Canis lupus familiaris: one gene and its partners. The protein of the gene in region 1 interacts with the protein of each later gene in a pairwise test. Links are inferred from orthologs where the notes say so. Each region holds a gene or a part of one and is shown in the gene's direction. Other genes may lie near its edges.

Region 1 (3,500 bases):
GCTGGGCGAGTTCCACTTCCGAGCTCAGTGTTCAGGCGCATTTTCCCTTAGCAGCACCAGCATGGGTGATCTCTGGCTGTAAGCGAGATAACTGGCATAGGGGTGGGCTCATTTTAGGGCTGGCCTGTAGATTTTTTTTTTTTTTTTTTAGTTTTTTTTTTTTTTTTTTTGGCCTGTAGATTTAACCACCACAGAAACATAACGTTTCATATGAAAGTCCCATTTATAATAAGCATGTGATTTTTAAGGAAATTTTTGGGATGGCCCAATGTGAGCTGCGGATTGGGTACAGGGGCTCTAACATGAACTGTAAACCTGAGCTGGCATGTCCTTATCCAGGACTGGTCTCTAGGAAGTGGCTCAAATTACTGATTTTATAGTTACATTTGGACAGATGCCTTTAGGGTGTCTTGAGGTCATGTTATAATTAAGAGGACCATAATAGCTCCATTTTGGGGGGGGCTAATTTCCCTCTAATTATTTTGATTCTGAAAATGATGTAATATCACACTTATAAAGAAATCTTTAAAAAGCTACATATGAAATGAAAGCCACATGATACATAGATTAGACTCTCCCTGGTGATTTTAGTGTCTTCATGCCTCGTTATGGTTTTAACTGTTGACTTCATATGTAATTTAATTTTCAGCCACCACCTCAGATTTACGATGCCCAGTTGGAAGAAAGAGAGCATGCAATTGAAGAGTGGAAAGGTAAAGAACAGAGCTGATTTTGCCACTCGCTTGCGGCACTTTACTCTCAGCAGTAGCCTTCCTAGGGTAGGAGCTAGGGACCATGCAGCCCCTCTCAGCCCATCTCTTCACAATCCCTAGCACAGAAGAAACTTGCAGATAACAATTAGTGAGGAGCAGGTATGGATTGCATATTGTTTGCTTCTGAAGACTGTAAGATAAACCAAACAACCCACAATAAACTAAACCCATAATCAGGAGGTCAAATAACAATTTTCCATTAAGAAGCAGAATCAGTAGTAGTTGAGAACCATGGTCAGTGCAGGTCAAAGGTGGCAATGTGCCCTGCCCAAGCAGATAATGTTTCCTTGCTCCGGGGCGTCCAGAGTGCCATGACCTGCATGAACACATGCTCAGCAGGCCGACACACACAGGCACAGCCTGTGGCCAACGGTTGGCTCATAGGCCTCCAGAAATGTTTGCAGTGTTCTCATCTTGATTCACAAAGGCCAAAATTTTAAGAACCCCTAATGCTTCCTTAGTATGTTGTTAGCTTTTCTCACAAATCAGAATCAAGGAAATGGAGGTTGAAGCCAAGAAATGACTGAGGAACTTGGATTAATTTCTGGCCAGTCTGGAGGGGCTTCTCACCCATAGATAGATATCAGTTCCTTTTGGAGAATCCCAAGTAACAATGGAGAGAAACATGTGCAAACAGTGTGAAAGCATCCAGTACTCTGAAATGCTCTGTGAGAGCCCTTTTGCTGGTCTCCAGCCCCTTATAAAACCCCCTGTGGGTTCAGAACTGCCTACGTTTTTGGCTGCCCTAACAGTTGAGTTAAAGACGTGGGTGTTTTGGTTTTTGTAGGTGATACTATTGAGTTAACCAGATGATATTATTGAATTAACTGTATACCATAATTAAAAATAAGGCATCACAGTGCCCTTGGAGTGGTTCTGATTGATTAGAAAGCAGGGTTCAGAGACACAAAGAAACTGATGAAGCCTTTTAACTTGCATTTCCATTTGAAGAACTGATTTATAAAGAAGTGCTGGATTGGGAAGAAAGAAGCAAGAATGGTGTTGTGAAAGATCAGCCTTCAGGTTAGTGATTGCTTTAATAGTTTGATCTTAGCACCCCCTCAACCCCATTTCCAAACTGGTAGCAGTGCGCTAAATGCTGGCTTGACCAGCACTGGGCCTGAAAGCTCCCCGAGGTAGATGGTCTTCCTGTCTCAGTGTGTCGTGGTAGCAGCAGCTAACGGGTTACTGATGTAACAGGCACTAAACTGTGTTATAGACATCCCTGCTCTGCACTTGTCCCTGCTGCTGTCAGCTCAGTTTACAGATGAGGGAGCTGATTTAAAATGTTACCAATTTGTGTGACCCTCTTTGTACCACCACACACACACACACACACACACACACACACACACATACACACAGTGATTAAAGAAAATTAGCATGAATCTAAGCAAAATGGAATTTGGTTTTCTTTTGAGAAAATCATTCATGTGATTCTCCTGTATTTGTACTTGGTCTGCCTGGGAATCTGTTCACACCGTGTGACTGTTAGAGACCTAACACATGTGTCAGTAGGATCCCACCTGCTTCCTAAGTGAACTCCTTTGAGTTGTATTTATCTTCTCACTTCACATCCTCTGCCACCCCCCACCTCCACCCCCACAGGAGCACACGCACACAGAAGTGCAGATTGCACCGTGTACTCATTCTTGAATTTTATATTCAGCATGACATATGTGTCAAGCATCTAGAGATTATGTAACTTTAGCACAGATTTAGGTGCTGTGGTTAATCAGGCACAAATTTAAGAATGCAAGCACTGGCCTCCAAGAGCTCGACTGTTTTATTTTTGCTCAAACCAGCCTAAAATATGGACAGTCGGTAATGGCATGGTTTTGTGTACTTCAGAAATCAAAACATCAGTATTGGAAAAAAAAAAAAAAAAAAAAAAAAAAACATCAGTATTGGGGATGTAGAAAACAAAAATAAAATGAACAAGAGGCCACTAAATTTTTTCCTTTTTTTTTTGTTTGTATACAGTCTTTAACAGTTTTTTTTTTAATTTAAATTCAGTTAGCCAACATATAGTACATCATTAGTTTCAGATGTAGAGTTAATAATTCATCAGTTGCATACAACACCCAGTGCTTCATCACATCACGTGCCCTCCTTAATGTGTATCACCCAGTTACCCCATCCCCTCACCCACTTCCCCTCCAGCAACCCTCAGTTTTGTTTCCTAGAGTTAAGAGCCTCTTATGGTTTGTCTCCCTCTCTGATTTCTTTCCACTCCATTTATATTACAAAAGAATTCTTCAAAGGTTCCTGTTTTTTCCCTTGGACAAAGTGTTGATGATTATAGCTGAAATGTCTGATGACCGTTGAACCCTATTTGGGCTTCAGCCTTTTGTGACACCTATATTTGTAGGATAGATGCAGCAATTTTCTATTAATATCTTTTTTAAAGAAGCATATTTTTCAAACATTATACACATGCACAGATGTGATGTTTAGCCACTAGGAAGAAAAGGAGAATGTTGTAGGGACAGACAAGAAATTTTTGGAATACTGGACCCAAAGAGAGACTCCAGAAAAAGTTGGGCACGTGTAGCAGGCTCATGGGTTGTTAGTACGAGCAGTTAGGCTGGGGGGCCACAGAAGCATGGAGCTGAGAAAGGCCTCATGTCTCACTGCCCGAACCTGCAGCAGTGTCGTGCCTCAGATTTTATTATATTTGGTTTTCTTAGCACAGATGCAGCAGTAAGTAGCAATGCCACTCCTTCC
Region 2 (4,020 bases), on another chromosome or scaffold:
CCTGGCCTCTCTTCTCCTCTTTAGTTTTAGCCTCGACAGCCTTGCCCCACTCTCTCCACCGTCCACATTGCCCAGGATTATCCTCCTGAAGGAGAAATCTCACTGTGCCATTCTTTAACTGGATCCACACATCCTGCTCCGCAGAAGACCTTGTCCCTTCACCTGCTATGCGGAATCCTTCACACCCTGTTCCAGTCCCCCTCTCCACCTCACCTCTCCTGCGGTGGAACCCCACAAACTCTTCGGAAGAGGACACGACTTGCCTTTCTGTGGCTTTGCAATACCTTTTCTCAACCTCTGGCCACCCTTAGAAATATTGTCCTCAAATGTCTCCTCTTCTGGACTGCGTACCCTCCCTCCGCCCTTGCCCCAGTTAAGCGCTGGTAGTTGCTTTGCCTTCTGGGTTATACCTCCACTTTAGTGTTCTTGGGATCATAAGACCTGTTTTATGTGTCTCCCAAAGTGTCCTAGAAAGCAGGGGCCCTGGGAATTCGTGTCTGTGTCCCTATCGCCTAGAACAGTGACTAACACGAAATAGGCATGGATGCATGGATAGATGGACGGATGCACACATAGACGGGAGCATAGGTGCATGGACGGATGCCGGCTGTGATGAGAGCAGATGGAAGAGATGGGTAGTCAGAGAACACAGGCAAGCAACCCTGCAGATGTGGGACAGACAGCAGAGGGAGCTGACACACCACAGTAAGGAAGCGGACGGACGAGCCGACGGAGGCTGAGAGCCTTGAGGTGAGCGGCGCGCGCGCCGGAGCGAGCATCACGCAGCTGGGGCTCCTCCCCCACGTGTGCATCCCCGCATCCTTCTCCCCACACCGCGCCGGGGCTCCTTCCTCCGCTTCCACCGCCCGCGTAGCCCCCACTGCCTCCGAGAAAGCAAACAAAGGGGAGGGGACCCCCGAGGCGCCCTGGCCGCAGGGAGCCAATCACCGGGCCCTCGCCCTCCCGGCGGGCGGGCACCTCGGTTCCGGGGAGCCCAATCGGTTCCCGCCGGGGGCGTGGAGGGGCGGAGAGATGGGCGGGCAGAGCGGGCACCGGGGACCGCGCGCGCCGGAGGGACCCCTTGGGAGCGCGGGGCGGGGCCGCGGCGGGGCGGGCACGGGGGCGGAGCCAGTCGGCGCGGCGCGCGCGGTCTGGGCTGACGCATCGGGCCCCGGTTCCCCCGGTTCGGAGGGGGCTCGAGGGGCGGGGGAGGGAGCGAGCGCGGAGGGCGCGCGTGCGCAGTGGCGCGGGGAGGAGCAGGCACCCGGCGGCAGGCGGGGAGGCTGCGAGCAGCCGCGAACCGGGCGGGCGCGCGCACCATGGGGGAGAAACCGGGCACCAGGTAAGGGAGGTGGGGCCCCGCGGCGGGACGTGGGCGGCGGCGCGGGGCGGGGGCCGGGGCGGTCCTGGGACCAGGACACCGGGGGAGAGGACCGGGGGGGCCGGGTCCCCGGGGGGACAGCCATCTGGGGCCGCGCGCGTCGGTCCTCGAGGATAATGAGGGGGACGCATGTGGGGCCCTTGCAGACGGCGAGGGCTGGAGGGGAGCAGGAAAGCGGCGTCTGGGTTCCCGCAGGGATGTGGGGGCCGGACAACCGAGTTCTCCGGTGTAGGCTGCGATGCAGGGGCGGAGGAAGGAGGAGCAGGTGGCCGCCCCGAGGGGTCGGGTATGGGAAGGCTGGATGCTGGGAGGGGATCCCCCCTAGACTCGTGCCGAGCTGCGGGAGAGCCTCCTGGCCAATACCCCACAGGCGGTCGGGCTGTCCCAAGGGCCAGGTGGCTCTGCTTCCAAACTTCTGCCTTCCCCCAGGTTGCTAGGAGCAACAGCTTCATCTTGGGGGAGCAGAGTGCATGACGACCCCCCACCTCCATTCGGGGCCTTACCCCTCTTCCCGGAGGTGAGGGGAGACAGTATCTGCCCTGGGCACGCCATCCACTCCCCGGATGTTTTCTGTGCAATCGAGGCTCCTTCCTTCCACTGATACCCTGAGTTCTCTTTTTTGGTCTCTAGCAAAATCCACTTCCTGTTGTGGGCCAACACCCCCAGGGGGATAGTGGGTGAATGCCTGAGTCCCTGGGGAGCAGGAGCAAAGGAGGAAAAGATTGGGGCACTATGCCTTTATCCAGAAGGCATCAGGAACTGGGCCCTGGTCCCCAGACGCCTCTTTTTCTGCAAAACATTATCCTATCAGCCCCACCGCTCCCCACCCATAGAATAGGAGAACCCAGGTTTCTGAGCCTCAAGTCGAGTCATATCAGAAAGAGATGATCAGAGGCAGGACTGCTGGCCTGGATTAGGGCTTATAACACCCCCAAGAAAGGGGAAGTTGCTGAGTTGAGGGAGGCCCCCAATTTCCGTTATGTGGTTCAGGGAGGAGGATGGATGGACCAGAGGGGTACTGCTGACTTGGCATAATTCCTGCCACCCCCATCTAATTCTGGGCCACAGGAAATGGAGAGAACGTCTGCTGCTTCCAGCCCCCTCACTAGGCACCTCTGGGCACCCCCACACTCTGCCTCCTTGGCCAGCTGAGGCTCCTAAGAGCAGGTCACCCTGCAGCTGCTCCGGGGCAGTTACCCCAAAACTATAGTCCAGTGACTTTCTTCCTAATAGGAGAAACCCTGGGAAAAAAGGAAAACTAGAAGCAAAAGGGAAAGAGAGCTGGATGAAGCCATAGCTGTTCGCCCCCAGCTTGGGACAAGAGGTGGTGCTCATTGTAGCTGCCATCATTACCAACGTTTACTCTGCTTCATTAGGTTGGGATACCTGGGGACCCCCATACCCTTTGCCTCATGACCTTTGGACAGCCTGGCCTTCTGGGAAGAAGCAGCAAGTGAAGTTGTTAGAGCAGAACTGGTGGGGAGCGGGGGGCGGGGGGGGGGGGGCGGCTGGAGGAAGGATGGCCTAGTTGGCAGGACCTCACTGTCTACTATCCGAGGACTCTGCCCTGTGATGGCCACTGAGGTATAGCGGATTGGGATGGGGAAGGTCCGACCTGCAGGTGGCCAGAACATAGGGGTCACCAGACACTTGCCTACCCTCTCAGCAGTGGGTAGAGCCCAAGCTGAGATTGTTTCAGCTCCAAGGCTGGGTGTTGGGGCAGGGAGTGAGGGCAGGGAGCTCTGGCAATTAAACAAGTTTAATGCCGATTGCAGAGACAGGAGAATATGAAGTTTTAGCGATAAAGAGCATGGGCTCAGAGCCACATTGCCTCTGGTCATCTGAGTCCCACCATTTACACCCTCTGGGGTCTTATGCTCAATTCTTCAGTCCTCCATGCCTTGGTTCCCTCACTTGGAAACTAGGAACATTGGGACCTCCGTCATTGGGTCGCTAAGAATATTAAATGAGATAATACACACGAAGCTCTTAAAACAGTGCTGAGCACGGGGCATTCACCCAACAAATGCCAGCCAATGTCATCATCTCTATCGTCCGGTTGCATGGCAGTGGCAGCCCGCCCCCAGGCAGTGTGCTGGGGGTGCTTAACTGAATAAAGCTTCTAATGAAGCATCGTCTACCTAGTGAGGCAGATGTTCAGATGATCCACAGCTCACAGCCTGTGCATGTTGTCACACCACCAGGAAAACACGAGGCAGTGTAACAGGAACACCCCTTCCTCCCCCAAAAAAGGAGTAACCAGGGTCCGGGCTGGATTTGCTTTCTAAAGGAGGTGATATCTGAGCTCAGCCTTCAAAGACAAGGAGGCTCGGAGGCCGCTGGGATCAGGGATGGGGACAGTTGGAGGTTAATGGAGTAGGGTCACACGTAAGTAGTGCCTACAAGTAGAAACCATTTCAGGGGCAAAAGCAGGGCCATTGCCTTTCTGGGTACTCCAGCCATCTTTGGAGCTGGAGACCGGAGAAGATGGAAGCAGGGCCAGGTCTGAGACAGACACTCCTACAACCTGCCCATTCAGGCCCCCTGGGGGGTGGGGGTTGCACTCAGAAGAGCCTGGGTGGTTCCTGCCATTGCCGTAGGAGGAGGGGAGCTAGTAAGGGTGGAACGGGGCCAGGGGG
Region 3 (3,983 bases), on another chromosome or scaffold:
GTTTCAAGGCCTATGTGGCCTCAGAGCCAGACACCCCAAAGCTCCACCCAAACCAACCCCAGGGTAACAAGGGTGAGCAACTGCCCTGATGTCGCAACTCCTATATTTACAAAAACAGACAACTTTGACCCCGCTGGGAGGCATCTCCTTGTCTCCTAATTAACGGTTTTACTTTCCTTTGACCAGCGGCCAGCTGTCCCGGGGAACCGCCGTGGCACAGGAGAGCTAAATGCTAACAATTGGAAGTAAGGAGGAGGCCAATAAAACCAAAACACGTTGCAGTGTGACCTGAGGACTGGGAACACATGTGCTGGTTTGTGTTTTTTTTTTTTTTTCTCACCAGGGAGAGGTTTTCAGGCTGTGAACTCCTTGTCATTCATCCCTTGGATTATTGATTAAAAGAAGCTCATAACTGTTAGGCTCCTAAAACCAGAAGGGCATACTCACAATCAGACCATGATCAAAGCACACAGAGAGGCCCAGAGATTTGTAGCCCACTTCCTTGTGCGTAAATAGGAGCCCCAAGGGGGGAGCCGGGTCTATAGCAGCCAGCAGCCCCACTGTGGTTGAGACAAGAGGAGGTGCCCAGCCCGGTGTGTGCTACAAACAAGTTATATAAAGATGGCATCGAACTCACAGCCCCAGGGAGCAAGCTCTTTGGCCATCGCCAGAGATGCCAGTGAACAGAAGTCCTGAAGCTGACTGGTGGGGAAGGCCACACTTCCAAAAGGGCAATTTTTCCATTCACACCTCTCTGGAGCGCTTGGCCGGAGCACTTTGCTCTCGAATCCTTCGTTTCTTCGCCTATACGATGGGAATGATAACTGTAGGACTATGTGGAGAAGTAAATGAGATAATAATGCAGGTCAGGCCATGGCACAGGACCCTGCAGCCAGTCAGCCCTCGACAGATGTTGGCAGAGATGCTGCTGGGCTGCGGATGCTGACCCCGCTGTTCACGAGTAAGTAGGAGAAACCTTTATTTAAACCTGATTTTTTTTTTATTGTGCTAGTCTTCACGAGAAACTTCTTCCTTCGTTTTCAAAAATAAAAACTGCTTTTTTTATTTTATTTTTTTTTACCTTTTATTTAAACAACAGTCCTGTCTCTTTAGAGTTAAAGGTCTTAACTAATATCAGCCATGAACTTGCTCATCTTTTTCTTCTTTGTCTGACAAACATCAGGCCGTGTTCCGTTATAAGAGATGCTGCCTATGGAAAATCTTTTAAAGTCTTGGCAAGGCCGTGGAACGAGTCGGGATGCCTTGATTTGTCTGATACCCATTTCAGCTCATGCTTCTCTGCATAATTAAAAATAAGAAGACGCCCAGGGTTCTGAGGCCCGTCCAGGCAGCAGCCCCTGCCTGTTGAGGAACTGGTCCCAGCACGAGGATGTCCCAGGCCCTGGGGACGACCTGGACCTGAAGGTGCAGTGAACCCTGTGTTTACTTCCTTGTTGATTTCCCTTCTCTGGCTCCCAGCTCATTTTCCCATTGCCTGCAGGAAAACAACATTCAGGGGTGCGGTAGGACTGACTTGGCAGGCCGAAAGGTGAACAAAAGGATCCTGGCTTTTCCTGAGAGCACAGGGACGGTCAAGGGAGCCTGGGCCCCTTCCAGACCAGAACAGATTAGTCACTGATGCTAATGAGCGCTGCTCGGTGGGGGGGCTGCTCTCCCTGGAAGCTCCTGGGAGGCTGCTCTCGGGTTCATGGATCAGCATGACACAAAGCCTTGCAAAAGGGGCAGGAGGTGAGCTGATTACCTCCAAGGCCGAATGGTTTTCATGCCTGTCTGGAAGAGGAGACACAGGAAAGAGAGAGAAAATCTCCCTGGGCCACAGAAGATCAGCTCCCAAGCGGACTGCCCCCCACCCGAGGCCTCACACGACTGGGAACCGGTTCACCGTGCAGCAAAGGTAAGAGTCCCGCCTCCCCCTCCAGGGAACATCTCATGTGATTTGAGACACTTTGCGATTTGAGACACTTTGCTCCTAACTCTCCCAGCCCAGCCTCCCACCCTTAGCCCGACCACCCACCCCCCAGCACCCACCACACCGCCCCTCCAAGTTGTTGAAGACAGCCAAAAGCTAGAATGTCTAGGTATGTCTTTTTCAAAACACTCCAGAAAGGCCCTCAGGATATCTACATTTTTAATACCTGATTTTTTTTTATTGCGCTACTCTTCACAAGAAACTTCTTCCTTCATTTTCAAAACTAAAAACTGCTTCTTTTATTTTGTTGGGGTTTTTTGTTTGTTTGTTTTTTACTGGTCCAACAGGTCAGTAAAAACATAAACAACCCCACTAACAGTAATTGGATTCATATAACATTATTCCTCATCAGTATCCGAAACATATTCACCTATTTTGCTTCATTTCTGTAGTGGAAATAGGTATTGCCATTGCAGTTTTACTCACGGAGAGACTTAGGTCCAGGGAAATTTGACTTGCCTGCCAACATGTGGGTAGGTGAGTAACAGAGGGCACATCCTGTCTCTATTCCTGCCTCTTTGCAGTAGAACGGTGACTCTACCTTTTTTTTTTTAAGGATTTATTTATTTACTTACTTATTTAGAGAGCAAGAGCATGGGGAGGGGCGAGGGAGGAGGGAGAGAATCCTCAAGCAGACTCCCTGCCGAGCATGACCCCAAGATCACCACCGGAGCCGAAATTTAGAATTGGATGCTCAACAGACTGAGCCAGCCAGGTGCTTCTTCAAACCAAAATACCAGGCTATATTCTCTGCCACATATTCTGTGGCCAATGATCCGATGGGAGGATAGGATTTTAGAAATTGGAACTCATTCGCCTAGAAAATCCAGAAATAGAGTATCCAGTACGATATGCCACCTTGTTATTTATCGCTGTTTACATCCATCCCTGGGCGCCGAATCCAGTTCACCAAATGTTGATAAGCTGCATTCTGGGTGCCCAGCACTGGGCCACATATCGGAGCACGGTGCAAACCATGTGGCCAAGGCGTGCTGAAGGAATGCACTGTGGGGGCCGAGGGTGGAGGTCGTACATGAGAAGACTCTCCACGGGACAGGAGCTTCACACTTGAGCTTGGCATAAAGAGGGGACTTTGACTGAGGGGGAGCTTTTCAGATTGGGACCACTCCCCACAGTAGGAATTTGCTCATGGAACATTCAGAGCAAGATGGTGACAACAGAACAGGCGACGAAGAGCACATTCTGGGAATTAGACTTGAATCTCGGTACTATTTTCCACTCGCTCTGTGCCCTGGAGTTAATCCAGTTAACTCTTATGACCTCAGTGTTCTGAAAGGCAAAATGGGAATAATAGTATCACCTCGTTCATGGAGTTGTCTTAAGGTTTAAATGAGAGAATGCATGTAAAGCCTTTGCTGGCACGTAATGAGCGCTCAAAAATACTATTTAATTACCCCATGCCTGCTTCCATGGGAGATACTAGGAGTGCAGATGAGAGGAGCTCTACTCTCAATTTGATCAAACATTGTGAATTAGTTGTGTGCAACCAGCTACGTGCGGTGCAGTAATGCCCTGGGACCACAGACAGAGGGATCATCTGTAGGTATTCTGGGCCTGTTGGGGGAGGCGGGAAGACGTTTCCCAGTAGAGGCCCTGTTGTGTAGGCAGGTAGTGAAGGACTATCTCAGTGAAGATAGTGAAAGGAGCTGCGCCGATGTGATTTTGAATCCCAGTTTCACCCCCAGCCACATACACAGCACCGCGTGGATATCTACTTATTCAGGAATCTCTCCATCCTTCACTAGGTGAGTGGAAGGAGAATATTTCTCCTCTGCACCTCATCAGAGTGCCAGCCTGTCGCAGACAGACCCTGAGCCTGCTTCTGGAGCAGCCACTCCAAATTTTGTCCGCCCAAAGCAGCCTCTGGGTGCCTGTGTTCTGGAAAGTCTGGAAAACACGATTCCAACCTAGCATATGCATTACATGTAGATGGAGATACAGATATAGATGAAGCATAGACGTACGTATGTGT
Region 4 (3,037 bases), on another chromosome or scaffold:
TGGGTCTTCCTGGGCTCAGGGCTGGGCGGCTGGAGGGATTCTGAGGGCTCCGTTGGCCTCTTCCTCTAGAGCTCTTCCATGGATCCCTGAGAGACTTGGAGGCCCCTGAGGCTGAAGACTTCTTCAATCCCCGGCTTAGCATTTCAGCTCAGTTCCTCTCACGTCTCCAGAAAACATCCAGGTAGGAGCAGGTGCCCCTCCTACCCAAGCTCGCTCTCTCTCGCAGGACAGGACTGTGTCCCCTCAGGAGCCCCCAGGCCAGCCACAAACCCCTGCTTTCCTTCCCACAGGTTTACCCACACCTTCCCTCCCCGACTGCCCCTGCACCTGGTGAAGTCCCCAGAGGTCAAATTCACGGACCTTGGGTGCAGCCAGCCCAGGGCAGAGCCTCTGAGAGTAGGCGCTGGCTACACCTCCCCAGGCAGAACCAGCGTGAGTATGGGGCCACTTCTTTCAGGATTTAGGGCTGGGAGCAGGAGGCCTTCTTGTCCCCACCTCCTGGTTGTGCTTGCAGGTCCTCACTGGGAAAAAGGCTGAGGAGCCCCTTGAGACACTGGAGGCCTGGTTCCCACTGAGTGAGTGCCCCCATCTGCAGATAAACAGCCCTGGGCATCTCAGCAAATGGCCCCGGTGCCCATCTGAACTATGGGGCAGTAGGGATGGGCAGAGGCCACTCAGCCCCTGCAGCCTCCTGGGGTGGCCCCTCACATTGGCTCTCTGGCTGGGGTGTGAGAGTGAGCTGGCTGCTTCCTTTACAGCCCCCTGCCTCTCAGGCCTGGCATCCTGTGCCCCCTCCTCAGTGCTGCCTGCTGACAGGAAGCCTCTGACGCCCATAGCCCTGCCCACTCCAGGCTTGACTCAGGGTGTCCACAGCCCCTCCTCCCACTCCTACATGGCGGCTGCTGCGAGCTCCCGCGCCAAGATGTCACGCAGCATCTCCCTCGAGGACAGTGAGGGCCCCGTGCTGGCTGAGCTGGCCAGGCCCCTCCCCAGGCCGTCCTCCGTTGGGGAACTGGTGTCCCTGGGCCAGGAGCTCCAGGCCATCCCCACCGCGGCAGCACCGGGCTCTAACAGCGAGGGCCGAGAACCTGCCTTGCTCTCCTTAGGGGGCAACCACGAGGCCCGGGCCAGCCTGAAGCTGACCCTGTCAAGCATCTGCGACAGGCTCTTGTTGCCCCCTCCCCCGTTGGATCCTGTGGCCACCCAGCCCAGCGTCACAACAGCCACCTTCCCAGTCCCCAGCCCCGTGGATGCAAGCTCCCTGGGGCTCCACAGTTCCACCTTTCTCCCGAGGCTCCTGGTCCCTGAGTCCCCCAACACCCCTGCCCACCCCAACAGCACCTCACTTCCAGAGACCAGGCCCGGGGTCCCTGGCAGCGTCACCTCCCTCCTGGAGCCCGCCCCTGGTGAGTACCACTCTTAGGCAAGGCTCATCCCTTGTACAGCTGGCTTTGCTCCAACGGTGGGCACTTGACCTGGCCACGGGGGCTGCACCATTCGTTCACTTAAATCTTTAGCGAGCACTTCATACATGTTGGGCTTTGTTCTAGACTCTGGGCATTGGGGCACAGTGGTTAACAAGACCACAAAGAATTGACCCCTTAACTGGGAAGACAGCCAGACATGAAACAAAGTGTTTAGTGTGTCACGAAGGAGTATGTGCTAAGGACAGAAATAAGAGAGAGGGCTTAGGGAACAAGCAGGGAGGCAGTGGTTACAGTTTAGAGAAGGATAATGAGAAAAGTCTTCAATCTGGAGAAGGAGGGCACTTGAGCAGAGCGGGAGGAAAGTGAGCCTCAGGGGACCGAGGGAAGTGTTCCAGGCGGAGGGACAGCAGTTGAGAGCAGCCAGCCATCCTGGCCTTTCTGAGACCAGCTGGAAAGCGGAGGTGTCTTTCTCATTCCCTCCCCTCTAACCCCAGATGCGCTCAGTCTGGTCCAGGGCGGCCCTGGACACTGGGAGGACCCTGGGGGGCCATTGAGGTTCCTGCCCCCAACTCCCCTTGAACTAAGCAGTGTGAGCACCATCGTGCACAGACTGCAGACTGCCTTCCAAGAAGCCATGGACCTTTACAACCTGGTGAGCCGAGCCCCGGGGTCAGAGGCATGGGCCAGGGGGCTCCCTGGGACAGCCTGCCTGAGCTGGCTGGGTGGTGGCCCCTGACAAGGTCGGTACCCCTCGCAGGTGGTCTCCAACGACCAGATGAGCACTGATCAGCAGCGGCAGGCACGGACTGAGCTGGCCTCCACCTTCCTTTGGATCCATAGCCAGTTAGAGGCCAACAGCTGGCTGCTGAGGAGTGATGTGGCCCCACCCCAGGCCCAGCCTGGCCTGGGCTCCCCCTCCCCACCGACACTGTGCCCCCTGGCCAGCCCAGACTTGCACGCCCTGCTGGAACATTACTCAGAGCTGCTGGTGCAGGCTGTGCGGAGGAAGGCCCGGGGGCACTGAGGGCTGGCGCCTCCCCCCGACTCCCAAGACAGCCTGGCCACTTCAGAGGAAATCGGTGTCTGAAGCAAATAAACTGACAACTTTGAGGAATGGTTCCTGGTGCCTGTCAGGGTGCATCCGCAGAGCTCCCTCAGGCGGATGCGGGGAAGGAGGGCAGGGTGGACTGCCCAGGGAATACAGGTGGATAAACCCTGGAAGGGGTGAAATTTGTGTGCCGTAGGTGTTGGCTGCCCAGCATTGTACCCTCACCTGCTTGTCCCCTGCCTGTCTCCCCTGGAGGATGTCAGCCCCAGTGCCCTGCCTTGTTCCAGGACTCCGTCAATGGGACCAACATTCCCAAGAAATACAGGAACTGCAGTAATGATGATCCCAACAGCTGGATCCCATGTCTCCCATCTCTGCTGAGCCACTATGGGATCAGTTGTGGTCCTTGCTATTCCCCAAGGTGGGGCCTAACTATTCCCCAAGGAGAGGGCACACCCTTCCTCTGCCCCTTACCAGTGCCCCAGAATGTACTGGAGCCACTGCCGTCACCAGGTGCCAGACCCTGGCTCAGGACACACCTGCTACACCACTGCCAGGCCAA
Region 5 (3,500 bases), on another chromosome or scaffold:
AGGAGGCGAGGCTGGCCTCAGCCCCCCACTCTGATGCACCCTGCCTCCCCAGGCAGCCGCCCGCATTCCTACCGAGCCTGGCTGAGGGTGGCTGAGGGAGGGCACTGCGGCTTCTTAGGGAGTGGGCTGAGTTTGCCACCTGGCGGCTGAAGAGCGTATTGAGCATCTCCATCTCCAGCCCAGGCAACTCCAAGGTGTGGGGAGATGGGACCCTTCTCCCTGGCTTCTCTGTCTTCCTTTTCTTCTTCAGACCTGAGACCAGGGGAAAGATAGGGGTTCGTGGGTTTTTGAAGGGGGCCTGACCGGAGCAAGGAAGAGGAACGACACTGAGGGCCACTGCCTTCACCCTATGCCAGTGTGACATTTTAAGTCCACATCAGAGATACTACTGATAATGATATAGCAGCTATCGTTTATGAAGGGCCTATTAAGGACCAGACACTATTCAGGGTGGTGAACATGTAGGAACTAATTTAATCCTCTCAGCAACCCTGGGAGGTAGGTGTTGCTACTGTTGCCATTTTACAGATGAGGAAACTGAGATCCAGGGGTGAATTTTCTCAAGGGCATATAGTTAGTAAGGGGCAAGCTCAGACCTTCAGCCTGGCTGTCCAGTTCTAGGGGGTGCAGGTGAGAAATGGGGATGCTGGCACACCCAGCACATCGCAGGCACTGCCTCACCAGATCCCATCCCCTCCCAATCCTTGTATCCTCGTTTCTTCCCTAAGCCCCTGTCCCTTTCACTGAGTCCCATCTCATCTCTGGGCCTCCATCTATTCACTGGGTCCCCATCCTTGTCACTGGCCTACATCCCCCTGATTGAATCCACACCCCCTCACTGAACCCCGTCACCTCTCTGAGCCCCCACCTTTTCATGGGGTCCCTCTGCAGATTTTGATTTAATAGATATTTGGAAGGCATTTGTTATATGGCAGGCACTGTCATAGATGTTGAAAACACAGCAGTGAACAATTGAGATAAAAATTTTGCTCCTTAAGGAGCTTACACTATTAAGTAAAGTAAGGGATGTGGGAAGTGAAACATAGTTCCTTTCTCGCCATCCTGCTGGCTGCCAAGGCACAGATCCACATGAGGGACTGCCATGGGGTGGTTCAGCTCCGCTGGTGTGGGAGTTAAGACCGGGACAAGATCAAGTGAGCTGATCCAGGAAGGTTTCCTGGAAGAGGAGGTATTTAGCTGGGTCCTGAAGAAGGAAATAAATGAGGGTAGAAGCAGGAGGAGAGTATTGCAGGCGGGGGTCCGGTGTAAGCAAAGCTGCAGAGACAGGACGAGATGAACCACTGAGGATGATAGTGAGGAAGTGGGGGTGGCTGTGTACACAATGGGGGAGGATGGAGTGGGGCCAGGTGGTGACAAGGCCTCTGTGTCCACCTCTGCAGTTTGGTCTGGATTGTAACGCCGGGGGAGCCATGGCAGTCTCCTGAGGAGGAAAGGGAGGGTTATGAGGAAGGAGGATGGAGGCAGGTGACTCTGGCTATCTTTTGCTCTGCCCATCTCCATTAGGAATTCTGTGCGCCTGGTGATCAGGAAGGTTCAGTATGCCCCGGAGAGGCCTGGCCCCCAGCCCACAGCTGAGACCACCAGGCAGTTCCTCATGTCGGACAAGCCCTTGCATCTAGAAGCTTCCCTGGATAAGGAGGTAGGAGGCTTGGACTTGGCAGGGGGTGGGGGCTGTTCTCCTGGGGCTGGGACATCTCATCCCAGTTCTCTCATGGTCACCAGGGCTCCTGGGGTAGGTAAGAGCTTCTGCCCCCAGTCCTAAGACCACAGGGTTCAGGGAATCTGAGACATCCCTTAGGGGGCTGTGGGGAAGCCTCTGGGGGCCTAAAGGAATGGCAGAGTGGGGCATGAGCCTGAGGGATACAATCGACTTTAGAAGTCAGCGTGCCTCCTCTCTGCCTCTCTCTCTCTCTCTCTCTCTCTCTCTCTCTGTGACTATCATAAATAAATAAAATTAAAAAAAAAAAAAGAAGTCAGCGTGCCTCCTGAAGGGACCTGAGTCTCGGCCGTCTTCCTGCACCCCGTCCCCCTCTTAATGTGTGGGCACTGCCTCTCTCTCTCTCTCTCTCTCTCTCTGTGGATAGCTGAGGGCAAGTGTTGGCCACAGATTTGAGTTGAGGTCCTTCAGTAAGGATTCAGAGCCAGTTCCCTTGGTGAGCAGGCCCGTCTTTCCCCACCTCTCTCTCCTGCTTCTTCTAGGCCCTCCTGTGTCTAGAATTCCTGGCATCCCAAGCCAGCAGGGACTTGATACATCACCTAGTCCAAGTCCTCCAGATGGGGGGAAGCCGAGGCTTAGCCAACCTGTCCAAGGTCACACCGTGTTCATCCTCTTTATCATTATTATAATTAGTGTTCTCATTATTTCTGGTCACCAAGTCCAGACTAGAGCCCAGGAATATCACCTCCTCATTCAATTATCTTTCAAAATCCTGACAAAGAACTGGTCTAACATGCCCAGTGACTTAGCATCAGTGGGAAGTGGCTGATGAACTTGAGGCCAACGTCAGAGTGGCCAAAGTCTGGGGAACCCTAGGATATATGATGGGGCCTCTTCTCCCTCCATCTTTCTGGAGCTTTAGTATCCTCTGGTCCAACCCTTCTCTCTTCTTCTGCCTCCCAGATCTATTACCATGGAGAACCCATCAGCGTTAATGTCCACGTCACCAACAACACCAACAAGACAGTGAAGAAGATCAAGATCTCGGGTACCCCGGGTGGAAGGCCACCCCATGGGGCCAGCAAGAGGGAACTCTCCCAAGGGTTGGGGGTGGCTGAAGGTTCTCCCCTTGTTAACAGCCTTGTAGATAACTATTGGCCCGCAGGAAAGCCCAGGGCCTACTCTAGGCCAAAGGGAAAGGCTTTTGAGGCTAGTAACACAGGCTACTCATTGGCCAGGTAATGAGTTTACTGTTTAAGTCACCTACCCTCTAAGTTCCCTGGGTTCTGGGCAAAGCTGTCCCTGAGGGAGACCTTTGGTGATGGAAGGGAACAGGTGTGTTCGGGCTACCCTTTGTGTGGAAGATGAGGGTGGTCTCTTGAACAATCTCCCAGTGCACTCTGGCCATTCTTGGGGCTGAACATCCCCAACTCAAGGGAGCCTGGGATGCCCGGGAGCTGCAGTCCTGGCTCACACCACCTTGTCTCCCTCTCCCTCTCAGTGCGCCAGTATGCGGACATCTGCCTTTTTAACACAGCCCAGTACAAGTGCCCTGTGGCCATGGAAGAGGCTGAGTAAGTGAGCACAAGCCCATCCTTGGATGTGTGGGTGGGGAAATGAGAAGCCCTGGCTGTAGTTACAGATGCAGATGGTTCTTTTCCACCTGACAGAAGGCTGGATCTCAGACTTCCTTGTCGCTCAGAGTAGATCATCCCAAATAGCCTTTTAAGAAAACACCTGCTTGGTTTAGCTACAAGAAAATACATGCCACAGTCAAGGGACAGACCCATTAAAACTAGAATGACCAAATGAGACCTAATGA
Region 6 (4,223 bases), on another chromosome or scaffold:
CTGTCATTAGGTGACTCTGCTTTATTTTTCCTCCACAGCACTTATGTCTACTTAGCATTATATTTATGCAAGCTCCATTGGGGGTGGGGGGATGTGTTGCATTTATTATTATGTTCCTGACCGCTGTAACAGTATATAGTAAGGTCTCAATAAATAGTTGATGAATGAACATGTGATAGCTGCCAGAAACCATGCTAAGCGCTTGGGATTATATTATTGAATCTTCTTAACAGCCCTTTGAGGTAAGTGATGTTGCTATTCCTGTTTGATAAACAAGATAACTAAGTCTCAGAAAGATTAAGAAACTTGCCCACAGCCAAATAGCTGGATATGGTTGATTGGGTTCACACCCCGGACTATCTCTACAGAGCTGGGATTGCTAATTCCTCTGCGGGGCAGGAAGTCCTCAGCCAACCTTGTGCAGCCTCGTTCCTTTATCAAAGCTCAGGCACTGGGAGAAGAACGAGATGTTAGATCAAGAGATTCTACAGAGTGAGAGGAGATGGATTTATGTAGATTCTTAGTGTTTAGTTTTTGAGGGAAGAGCCAACTCTTAAAAAGTAAATGTTGACACACTAGACAGAGTGCCGCACAGATGGAGAATGTATACTGTTCACAAAGAGAAAGTACCATCCAGATAGTCTTGTAAAAAGTGGATCAGGGTCAGTAAGCTCCTGATGAGTCTTATGTTGACCGAGATGGGTGAAAAAAAAATCAGTATTTTAGGCAGAAAGAGTAGGGGGAAAATGAATTAACCATTCTCTTAGCTAAGTTACTCAACCAGTGTGGGTCTCAGTTAGTTTATAATTTGCATTCCACCTACTTCCAAAAAAATTGAAGGAACTAACAACAAAATAACTTATTAGTATTACAAACTAAAGAGCAAAAATCATAAAGAAGAGAAAGACCTTCAGATGTATCATCCGTTTGTGATAATCCTGTCAGAAGACAAGCATCAGTAGCTGAAAGAAGAGGAGGTATGGGTCTTATTCTCAGTGTAATTAAACCCTCAAATGTATGAGCTCTAAGAATGAACAGAGAAAGAATAGTCAAAATAATAAGCAACCCCCCTCCAAATGCATTATTTAGTATTCCTTCAAGAGACAGCACATTTATTCTCCTAATTATATTTTGCTTATGCTTACATGAAAATTGCTCTGCTTGCCCTCAAAATCACCCAGCAGTTAGAGGAGAGGTCGGCCCATGGGTGTCCTTGATTGGCAAGGGAAGGCCAATAGAGGCTTAAAAATTGCCCCAGATGTTTCACAAAGTAGAAAATAGACCCTTACCATTGACAGCTAATGGTTAAGTGAAACTGTGAATTTCATGCTAAACCAATGTTAGGATAATGTTTTCTAATCCCATGAAAATAGTTAACAGCCCATTTCTGTTTGTCTTTGTCCAGATGTGGGGATATGATCGTAGCCGTCAACGGCCTGTCAACTGTGGGCATGAGCCATTCTGCACTCGTTCCCATGTTGAAGGAGCAAAGGAACAAAGTCACTCTGACAGTTATCTGCTGGCCTGGAAGCCTGGTGTAGGTTTTGAAATTGGTTTCTAGTCAAACATCTTCCCTTTTTAGACTTTGGAAAGAAATCTCTTTCCTTGTGTTGTGTTTCTGGTTAGGAGTGCCAGACTCAGCTGGTGTTTGCAGGGCCCAGAACCACTCAGATTGTCCTTTTGTTGTTGTTAAAATGGCTTTCTTCAAGTTAGCCACATTTCTTTTAGCTTGGAAACAGTCTTTCATTAACCCTTGTAAGTTCTTATTTTCAAAATCCAGACTCCCCGTTTTCAGAATGTGACCTAAAATAATGAAATAATGAAGATCGCGCAAACTGTGACCTGGCCAGCTGGATGAGAGGACCTCAGGCAGTTCTTTATTTCCCCTCCAAGTCCTAGAATGAGTTCCATGCCCCAGCACTGGTGTCTGTGAAGCCAGTAGCGGTAGCTTCCTCTGCCCCTGCCTCAACCAAGGCCACAAATGGATATGTTTTAAATTTAGCTGGTAGCCCTTCCCCATTTTTTTCCTGTCGGTGCCAACATTTCAAAACTTCATACTGTTTGTAAAAAGTGATTTTTCTGGACTTATTTTATTTCTCCTTTATTCTCTTAGTACTTGTAGGTGATGAAGACAGAAGTCTGACACTACTAAAGAGCTTTTTAAAAAATAATATATCATTAATTAGAATACTAGATAATAAAAAATCACGTTTTCCAGTGACAAAGGCATTTGGGAGGTGATTACAGTTTAGTGCTGGAGATGGTAAAAGCCACACTTACTTGCACAAGTCCAGTAGCATTTAAAGATTCATTTCCAAAGGAATGATTTGTTATGCAGGGAAATTTTGAAGCAGTTTTTGCTAAAATTCATTTTCTAGAGTTTGTATTGTACTTATCAGCAGTCTTGGCTAGACATGCTTTTTGTGATTTATGCAGTTAAACTAAAGATAAAACTGTGTTGCTATTCAGTACACATTCATATGTATCGCAGCTCAGTGTAGGAGAAGGTATACCTTTTTTATTTCATTCCAAGAAAAGCCTTGAGTGTTCTAGAAATCCTAAATTTTTTCCCCATTATTTCTTGTGAACTTAATTATTTTAAGAAAAAGACTGAAAAGTCCTGGATTTTTATCTAAAATATTAGGTTTTAGATATTAATATCTTTCAGTCAGTTCTTGGTCACTAGGCTACTTCTTATTTTTCTGTTTTTGAAAAGTACCATCAACCCCCTTTGTTAGCCCTTCATTCCACCTGGTTGTCCCTTGGAAGAATACATAAAGAAGTAAGATCAAAATATCTTTACCTTATTAATATTATCCATACTTGAAAAAGTTTCACTTAGAAATATAGTTCAGAATCTGAGCTCATTTACAAGTGACCTCTGTAATAAATGGTATTGATTATCAGAGAATGTATTTTAAAAATATGACAGTATATTATGAAGCATGACCACTTGATTTTCAAACTAGCAATTGCATTGCTAGGATTTATCGTGTCTATAGCATGTCACTGATTATTCCTGTTAGTTTCTTAGTAATTTTTTTTAAGCCTGTCTCTTTTGAATAAATAAGAAACGGCAACAATAATTGCTACTGATTTGTTCAACCCCTTAGCTACACTGTATGATCAACATATAATGAAGATACAGTGGAATGCCCCATACAGTATATTACTGTTATGTGATGATTGGCTTTTGAAGCAATTTGGTATTGAAATGCTTTGATATTCTAATTGACATGGAACAAGTTTTTTTTTTTCCCCTGCTCCCCAAATAGAATTTTCTATCCTACTTTGCTATTTTTTTAAACATTTTGTAAGAATGTGTCATTTCTTGGGGAGTGGCCATCCATCAACAAATATCCTAATGGCTACTTTGTTATATATAAAATACTTCCATTGAACCTGGGGATATAACGAGTATTTTGAAAGAAGACACTTTTTTCGACATTATTTTTATCATGGAAATCTCAGACTCAGCCTAAGCTAATTTGGTTTTATTACAAAACATGGTAGCTTTTGGTCAGAATGATATTTGGTGATGGAAACTTGTTCATAATTTATTATTACTGTTGAAATATTTGAATTTTCTCATCTTAAGCATAAATAGTTCAAATATTTTGATTTGTTCTGTGCCTTTGGTTTAAATTATTTCAGGATTTTCAAATGTGTTTAAATAATGGTGTGATAATCAGGATGGAAATAAAAGTCATCCTTTCCATACTAGTGACATTGTCTCTTTTCTTGAGTAGCAGAAGTTGACTCAGTATGTGATCTCTGTTTGTTCACGATCCCTCTGTCCTCATTTCAGTGGTCCAAGCTTTGGACCTCAGAATCCTAAGTCCATCTTCTGATCCTTCCTCTTATGTGCATAACACGTGTGATTGTTGGAAGTTTTGCCCATGCACTACCTCTGGACCTGTATTGTCCAACATGTGTGGCCACTGAATACCAGAAATACTACCAGGCTACATGTTGAAGTGATAATACCTTGGATATATAGGCTGATATAAAATATGGTGCTTTTTTTTTAATTTTTATTTTTTGGTGGATTTCCCGTTAGTCTTTTTCTATGCATTTTTTTTCCAGTTTTATCAAGAAATAATTGACACACATCACTGTGTAAAATCTGAGGCATAGAGTATGGTGGACTGAATTACCCATATTGTGAAATGGTCACCACAAGAGGTTCAGCTAACATCCACATTCTCATATAGACACAGTAA
Region 7 (4,275 bases), on another chromosome or scaffold:
CAGCCTAGGGTGTGATCCTGGGGACCCTGGATCGAGTCCCACATCAGGTTCCCTGCATGGAGCCTGCTTCTCCCTCTGCCTGTGTCTGCCTCTCTCTGTGTGTCTCTCTCATGAATAAATAAATAAAATCTTAAAAAAAAAAAAAAGACACTGACAAACTGTTTTCTAGAGTGGTTGTACCATTTTACATCTCTACCAGTGATATATGGGAGATCCTGTTTCTTAGCTTCTCCAGAATTTGTCATTAGCACTGTTTTTAATTTTTAGCCATTCTGATTGCTATGGAATGAATTGTGTCATCCCCCTCATTCTTATGTTGGAGGATGACCCCCTCAATTTGACTGTATTTGGAGATAGGGTCTTTAGGAGGTAATTAAGGTTAAGTGAAGGCACAAAGGTGGGGACTTGATCTGGTAGGATTAGTGTCCCTATAAGAAGAGACACCAGAGATCTTGCTCTCTCTCCCCTTGTGCACACACACACCAAGGAAAGGCCATGTGAGGGCATAGTGAGAGGCACCCATATAGAAGCCAGAGTGAGAGGCACCCATATAGAAGCCAGGAAGAGAGCCCTTACCAGAAACCAAATTTGCTGGACGGACGCTTGCAGGGTGGGGAGAGAGATGCAGCTGAACTCTGAATATAGGACGGGCGATTGGGAATCTACAGCCAAGGAGCCAGGGTCAGTGGGTGGAAAATTAGTAAGAGCAAACACCAGGAGTAAGGGGATTCTGGCTAACCTGACCAGGCCAGGGGGATCTGACATCACCAAGGATGGTGGAGGACAAGGAATCCAATCAGATATGGGGGATTTGAGGGGCGGGGGGTGTTCTGGTTAAAATGACTTAGCTGAATTCTTCCTAAAATTGGGCAAGCGTGAGTAGAATTTGGTCCCTGAGAGAATCTTTGTCAGCTCTTTTCGTACACTGGGCAGACCCCTGGTTTTTAGGATTCTTAGCAAAGGCTAATATATGTTGAGTCCTTATAACATGTCAGTCAGATGCGATGTGAAGTGTCTCAGATATGTCTATTAGTCCTCCCGAGAGTCCTGTCAGGCAGATAAAAGTATCCCCAATTCAAAGTTGAGAAATATGAAACTCATATAGATAGGCTTCTACACAGAGTAATAGTGTCCGAATTCGAACCCAGGTTTGTCCTATGATCACGTGCTAAACTGTAAAAAGGGCAATGCAAATGTCAAATATAAGCAACAAGATTCACCCCTAATTCCAAACGCGCTGGGACAGGCCCTCTGCGGACACCCCGGAAGCCCCGCGCCTAGCCCGCGGGCGCCGCAGCGAAGGTCTAGCTCCGCAGCTGCACTGTGCAGCCTTACCCCGCGCCGCGCCGGGAGGGGCAGCCCCGCCCACCGCTCCGCTGCAGCCAATAGCGCCCGCGCTTCGGGGGGCGGGGCGCCCTCTGATTGGGCGCCTCCGGGGGCGGGGCCCAGCTGCCCGCAGAGGGCACGGAGTGGAGCGCGAGAGCCGCTGCGCGCCAAGCTCTGGGTTCCCGACTCGCGCGGCAGGTGTCACGTGGCGGGCACAGGGCCGGACGCGGGTCGGCGGGTCTCGGACTCTGCTCGCGGCGGCAGCAGCGTGGTCGGCGGCGGGTCTCGGGGGCGCTGGGCTGTGCGGGACCCTGTGCCGGTAGGTGGGCTGCTTCGGGTGCCAGGACCTCGGTGCCCCCGGCGCTCTCGGGGCGCTTTGTGGTGTGCGCCTGGCAGCCGCGCTTCCCCCGCGGCTCTGAGAGGCCGGAAAAAGTGAGCGGAGGGAGGGCGGCGAGCCCGGATGCTCCGGCCTGGTCACGGGCCGGTGCGCTAGGGGGTGAGGGCGGTCTTTGACTCAGACGCGAAGGCTGATTGCTGCTGGTTAGGTAGCTCTCCACTGAGCGCTTCTTTCGTAGAGCATTTTTTTTAAAAGATTTTATTGATTTATTCACGAGAGACACAGATCGAGAGCCAAAGAAGCAGGCTTCCTGCAGGGAGCTCGATGCGGGGCTCGATCCTGTGACTCCAGGAGGATTCTGTGACTCCAGAAGGCAGAGCCACCCAGACGTCCCTTGTAGAGCATTTTAAATTTAAGTACACCCCTTCACCTGAGAATCCCCTGAGCAAAGCTACAGGCGGAGCGCTGTCGCGTAGCCGATTTTACAGATGGGGAAGGTGAGGCTCGGAGAGAAGAGCCGACTTGGGCGCGACCCTGCAGATGGCAAAATGGCAGAGCCCGGAATCAAACGGAAGCTCCCCAAGCCTGCACTGTCAACCACTGCTTACAGGGTCGCGCTACTTTTGGTGTGAACCGAGCCCTGCGGGGGCGGAGCTGCGCCTGTTGTCTGCAGTCTGTCCTCCGTCGCCGCCCTCCCCCCGCCCCCCGCCCTCACTGTGCTGGGAGACAAACATTGCACTGTAGGGTTCTTGGCTCCACGCCCTGGCCTTCGAGGTCCTAGAAGTTAAGTGACCCTTGATCAGCTGGGGCCAGCACCAACATGTGTCTTTAATCAGGCAGTTGCTGGACTGGAAACACCAGTTCAGGTTCTTATGGAATCATTTTTTGAATTTCTTACCTGAGGGAACATGCACTGGAGGTGGGCAACCTGTGCTTTTATTTAGTGCAGTGTCGTGAGGATGTTTGGAACTAAAGGTAAACTGGACTTCAGATTCTGACTCTTTGTTGTAGGACCTTAGACCACTTAGCTCCCTGAGCCTCGGGTTCCTCCTCTGTAAGCTAGATAATGAAAAATCTGTGTATGGGACAGACCGATGACATTCAATAGGGTGGTTCCCTCCGGAGACTTCTGGCTGGTTACGCTTGTGTGACAAAGTCCTGGGGAAGATTTGGGGCCATGGGGAGGTTGATGACCTTGGCAAGTAAATTCAGGTCTGTTTCCCTGGGGTTGAGGTGAGGATCATGCCACACGTGAGTGACATGTCCCCCCCCACAGAAATATCCAGCATTAGAGGCACCTGGGTGGCTCAGTGGTTGAGCATCTTGTCTTTGGCTCAGGTCATTCTGGGGTCCTGGGATCGAGTCCTACATCAGGCTCCCCACAGGGAGCCTGCTTCTCCTGCCTATGTCTCTGCCTCTCTGTCTCTTATGAATAAATAAATACATTTAAAAAAATATCCAGCATTATAATGATAATAATAGCTGCAGTGAGCTGTGTGCTCCCAGGGTGCTCAGCCCAGGTTACTGAGTGGTAACAAAGATGGCCCAAAGGTCCCTCCATTTCTTTAATAACTGTACTAGATGATAGCTTTTGAGTACTTCCTCTGTGCCTGGCAGTGTTCCAAGCACTCTGTGTATGTCCGGTAGCTCATTTGGCTCTCCCTGCCAAATCAGAACGGTCTTCGCTCCTGGGTTTTATATGAGGGGACTGAGAAACAGAGGTGTCAGTAGCTGAGCTGCACATTAGGAAGTGGAGAGGCTGGCTTTAGCACAGTTTCCTTGGGTGTGGTCTTCACTGTTGGGACATGAGAGAGTTGGAGGGGTCCAGCTTGGGAGATGTTCACCATCTGCTCTTTTACATAAGGAACCCTGGTCTTCCCCTGTTGGGTTTCTCTAGTTGTTAGTTTCAGATTTCACAGGCAGACTGAGAAGTGACTCAAGACCAAGGTTTCTAGAACATAGTTTGAAACCTTGTAAAATACATCCTGTCAAGGTGAAGAATCTGTTCTCCATCCCTGCTCTCACCCTTGGTCCTTCAGTGTCATTTCTTGTGCCTCTGCTTTGTTCTCCAAGCTTCAGGCATGTGGGCCTGATTTCTGACTCTTGACAAGTCAAATTTCTTCCCATTTTAGGGTCTTTGCACTAAGGGCAATAAGGTGAGGAGCACCTTAGGAGGATAAGGTTTCAGCCCAGGTACTTTCGATGGCCTGGTCTAAAGAAGCCCTCTACCCGTTTATTGTCCTTATAGCAATCACCACCCCCTGACATTACCTTCTGTATTTCTTGTTTACTTGTTTGCTCCTCGTAAAAGCAAGGCCTCTGTCTTTTTTGACGTATATATTCTAGTAAGTTCCTTGCTCAGTGCGTAGGACATAGGAGCTCCTCAATAAATACTTGTTGCAGGAGTGAATGAATTCACTGTAGGCTGATAATAGTAGTAGAGTATAGATCTCCTAAATATCAAAAGCTTGTTTTGAACTGAATGTAGAATTACTATATGATCCTGCAATTCCACTTGGGGTCTTCACCCAGAGGACTGAAAACAAGGTATTTGTTCATCTTTGTGGCAGCATCACTTACAGTAGCCAAAAGGTGGGAGCAACCCACTTGTC

Evidence for each region.
Region 2: the proteins of MAPK9 (region 1) and ARRB2 interact in binary tests that used the Homo sapiens proteins (3 or more experiments, as listed by UniProt). The two-hybrid records come from large-scale screens. The link is inferred for Canis lupus familiaris from reciprocal best matches to the Homo sapiens genes MAPK9 and ARRB2.
Region 3: the proteins of MAPK9 (region 1) and LNX1 interact in binary tests that used the Homo sapiens proteins (3 or more experiments, as listed by UniProt). The link is inferred for Canis lupus familiaris from reciprocal best matches to the Homo sapiens genes MAPK9 and LNX1.
Region 4: the proteins of MAPK9 (region 1) and WDR62 interact in binary tests that used the Homo sapiens proteins (3 or more experiments, as listed by UniProt). The two-hybrid records come from large-scale screens. The link is inferred for Canis lupus familiaris from reciprocal best matches to the Homo sapiens genes MAPK9 and WDR62.
Region 5: the proteins of MAPK9 (region 1) and ARRB1 interact in binary tests that used the Homo sapiens proteins (3 or more experiments, as listed by UniProt). The link is inferred for Canis lupus familiaris from reciprocal best matches to the Homo sapiens genes MAPK9 and ARRB1.
Region 6: the proteins of MAPK9 (region 1) and LNX2 interact in binary tests that used the Homo sapiens proteins (3 or more experiments, as listed by UniProt). The link is inferred for Canis lupus familiaris from reciprocal best matches to the Homo sapiens genes MAPK9 and LNX2.
Region 7: the proteins of MAPK9 (region 1) and SHMT1 interact in binary tests that used the Homo sapiens proteins (3 or more experiments, as listed by UniProt). The two-hybrid records come from large-scale screens. The link is inferred for Canis lupus familiaris from reciprocal best matches to the Homo sapiens genes MAPK9 and SHMT1.

What each region holds. Positions count from the first base shown.
Region 1 is NC_049232.1:1,736,426-1,739,925, forward strand, and holds part of MAPK9 (mitogen-activated protein kinase 9), read left to right. Parts: intron 1-649; coding exon 650-713; intron 714-1,724; coding exon 1,725-1,796; intron 1,797-3,463; coding exon of another isoform or gene 3,464-3,468; coding exon 3,469-3,500. UniProt on the Homo sapiens protein: Serine/threonine-protein kinase involved in various processes such as cell proliferation, differentiation, migration, transformation and programmed cell death.
Region 2 is NC_049226.1:32,043,136-32,047,155, reverse strand, and holds the start of ARRB2 (beta-arrestin-2), read left to right. Parts: upstream 1-1,220; 5' UTR 1,221-1,319; coding exon 1,320-1,342; intron 1,343-2,614; exon of another isoform or gene 2,615-2,757; intron 2,758-4,020. UniProt on the Homo sapiens protein: Functions in regulating agonist-mediated G-protein coupled receptor (GPCR) signaling by mediating both receptor desensitization and resensitization processes.
Region 3 is NC_049234.1:46,944,372-46,948,354, reverse strand, and holds the start of LNX1 (E3 ubiquitin-protein ligase LNX), read left to right. Parts: upstream 1-1,183; 5' UTR 1,184-1,915; intron 1,916-3,983.
Region 4 is NC_049222.1:117,439,456-117,442,492, reverse strand, and holds the end of WDR62 (WD repeat-containing protein 62), read left to right. Parts: intron 1-69; coding exon 70-181; intron 182-290; coding exon 291-432; intron 433-514; coding exon 515-575; intron 576-758; coding exon 759-1,406; intron 1,407-1,921; coding exon 1,922-2,079; intron 2,080-2,184; coding exon 2,185-2,451; 3' UTR 2,452-2,537; downstream 2,538-3,037. UniProt on the Homo sapiens protein: Required for cerebral cortical development. Plays a role in neuronal proliferation and migration.
Region 5 is NC_049242.1:23,399,682-23,403,181, forward strand, and holds part of ARRB1 (beta-arrestin-1), read left to right. Parts: intron 1-1,524; coding exon 1,525-1,660; intron 1,661-2,641; coding exon 2,642-2,726; intron 2,727-3,179; coding exon 3,180-3,252; intron 3,253-3,500. UniProt on the Homo sapiens protein: Functions in regulating agonist-mediated G-protein coupled receptor (GPCR) signaling by mediating both receptor desensitization and resensitization processes.
Region 6 is NC_049246.1:12,133,556-12,137,778, forward strand, and holds the end of LNX2 (ligand of Numb protein X 2), read left to right. Parts: intron 1-1,405; coding exon 1,406-1,541; 3' UTR 1,542-3,723; downstream 3,724-4,223.
Region 7 is NC_049226.1:41,434,465-41,438,739, forward strand, and holds the start of SHMT1 (serine hydroxymethyltransferase, cytosolic), read left to right. Parts: upstream 1-1,475; 5' UTR 1,476-1,645; intron 1,646-2,491; exon of another isoform or gene 2,492-2,638; intron 2,639-4,275. UniProt on the Homo sapiens protein: Interconversion of serine and glycine.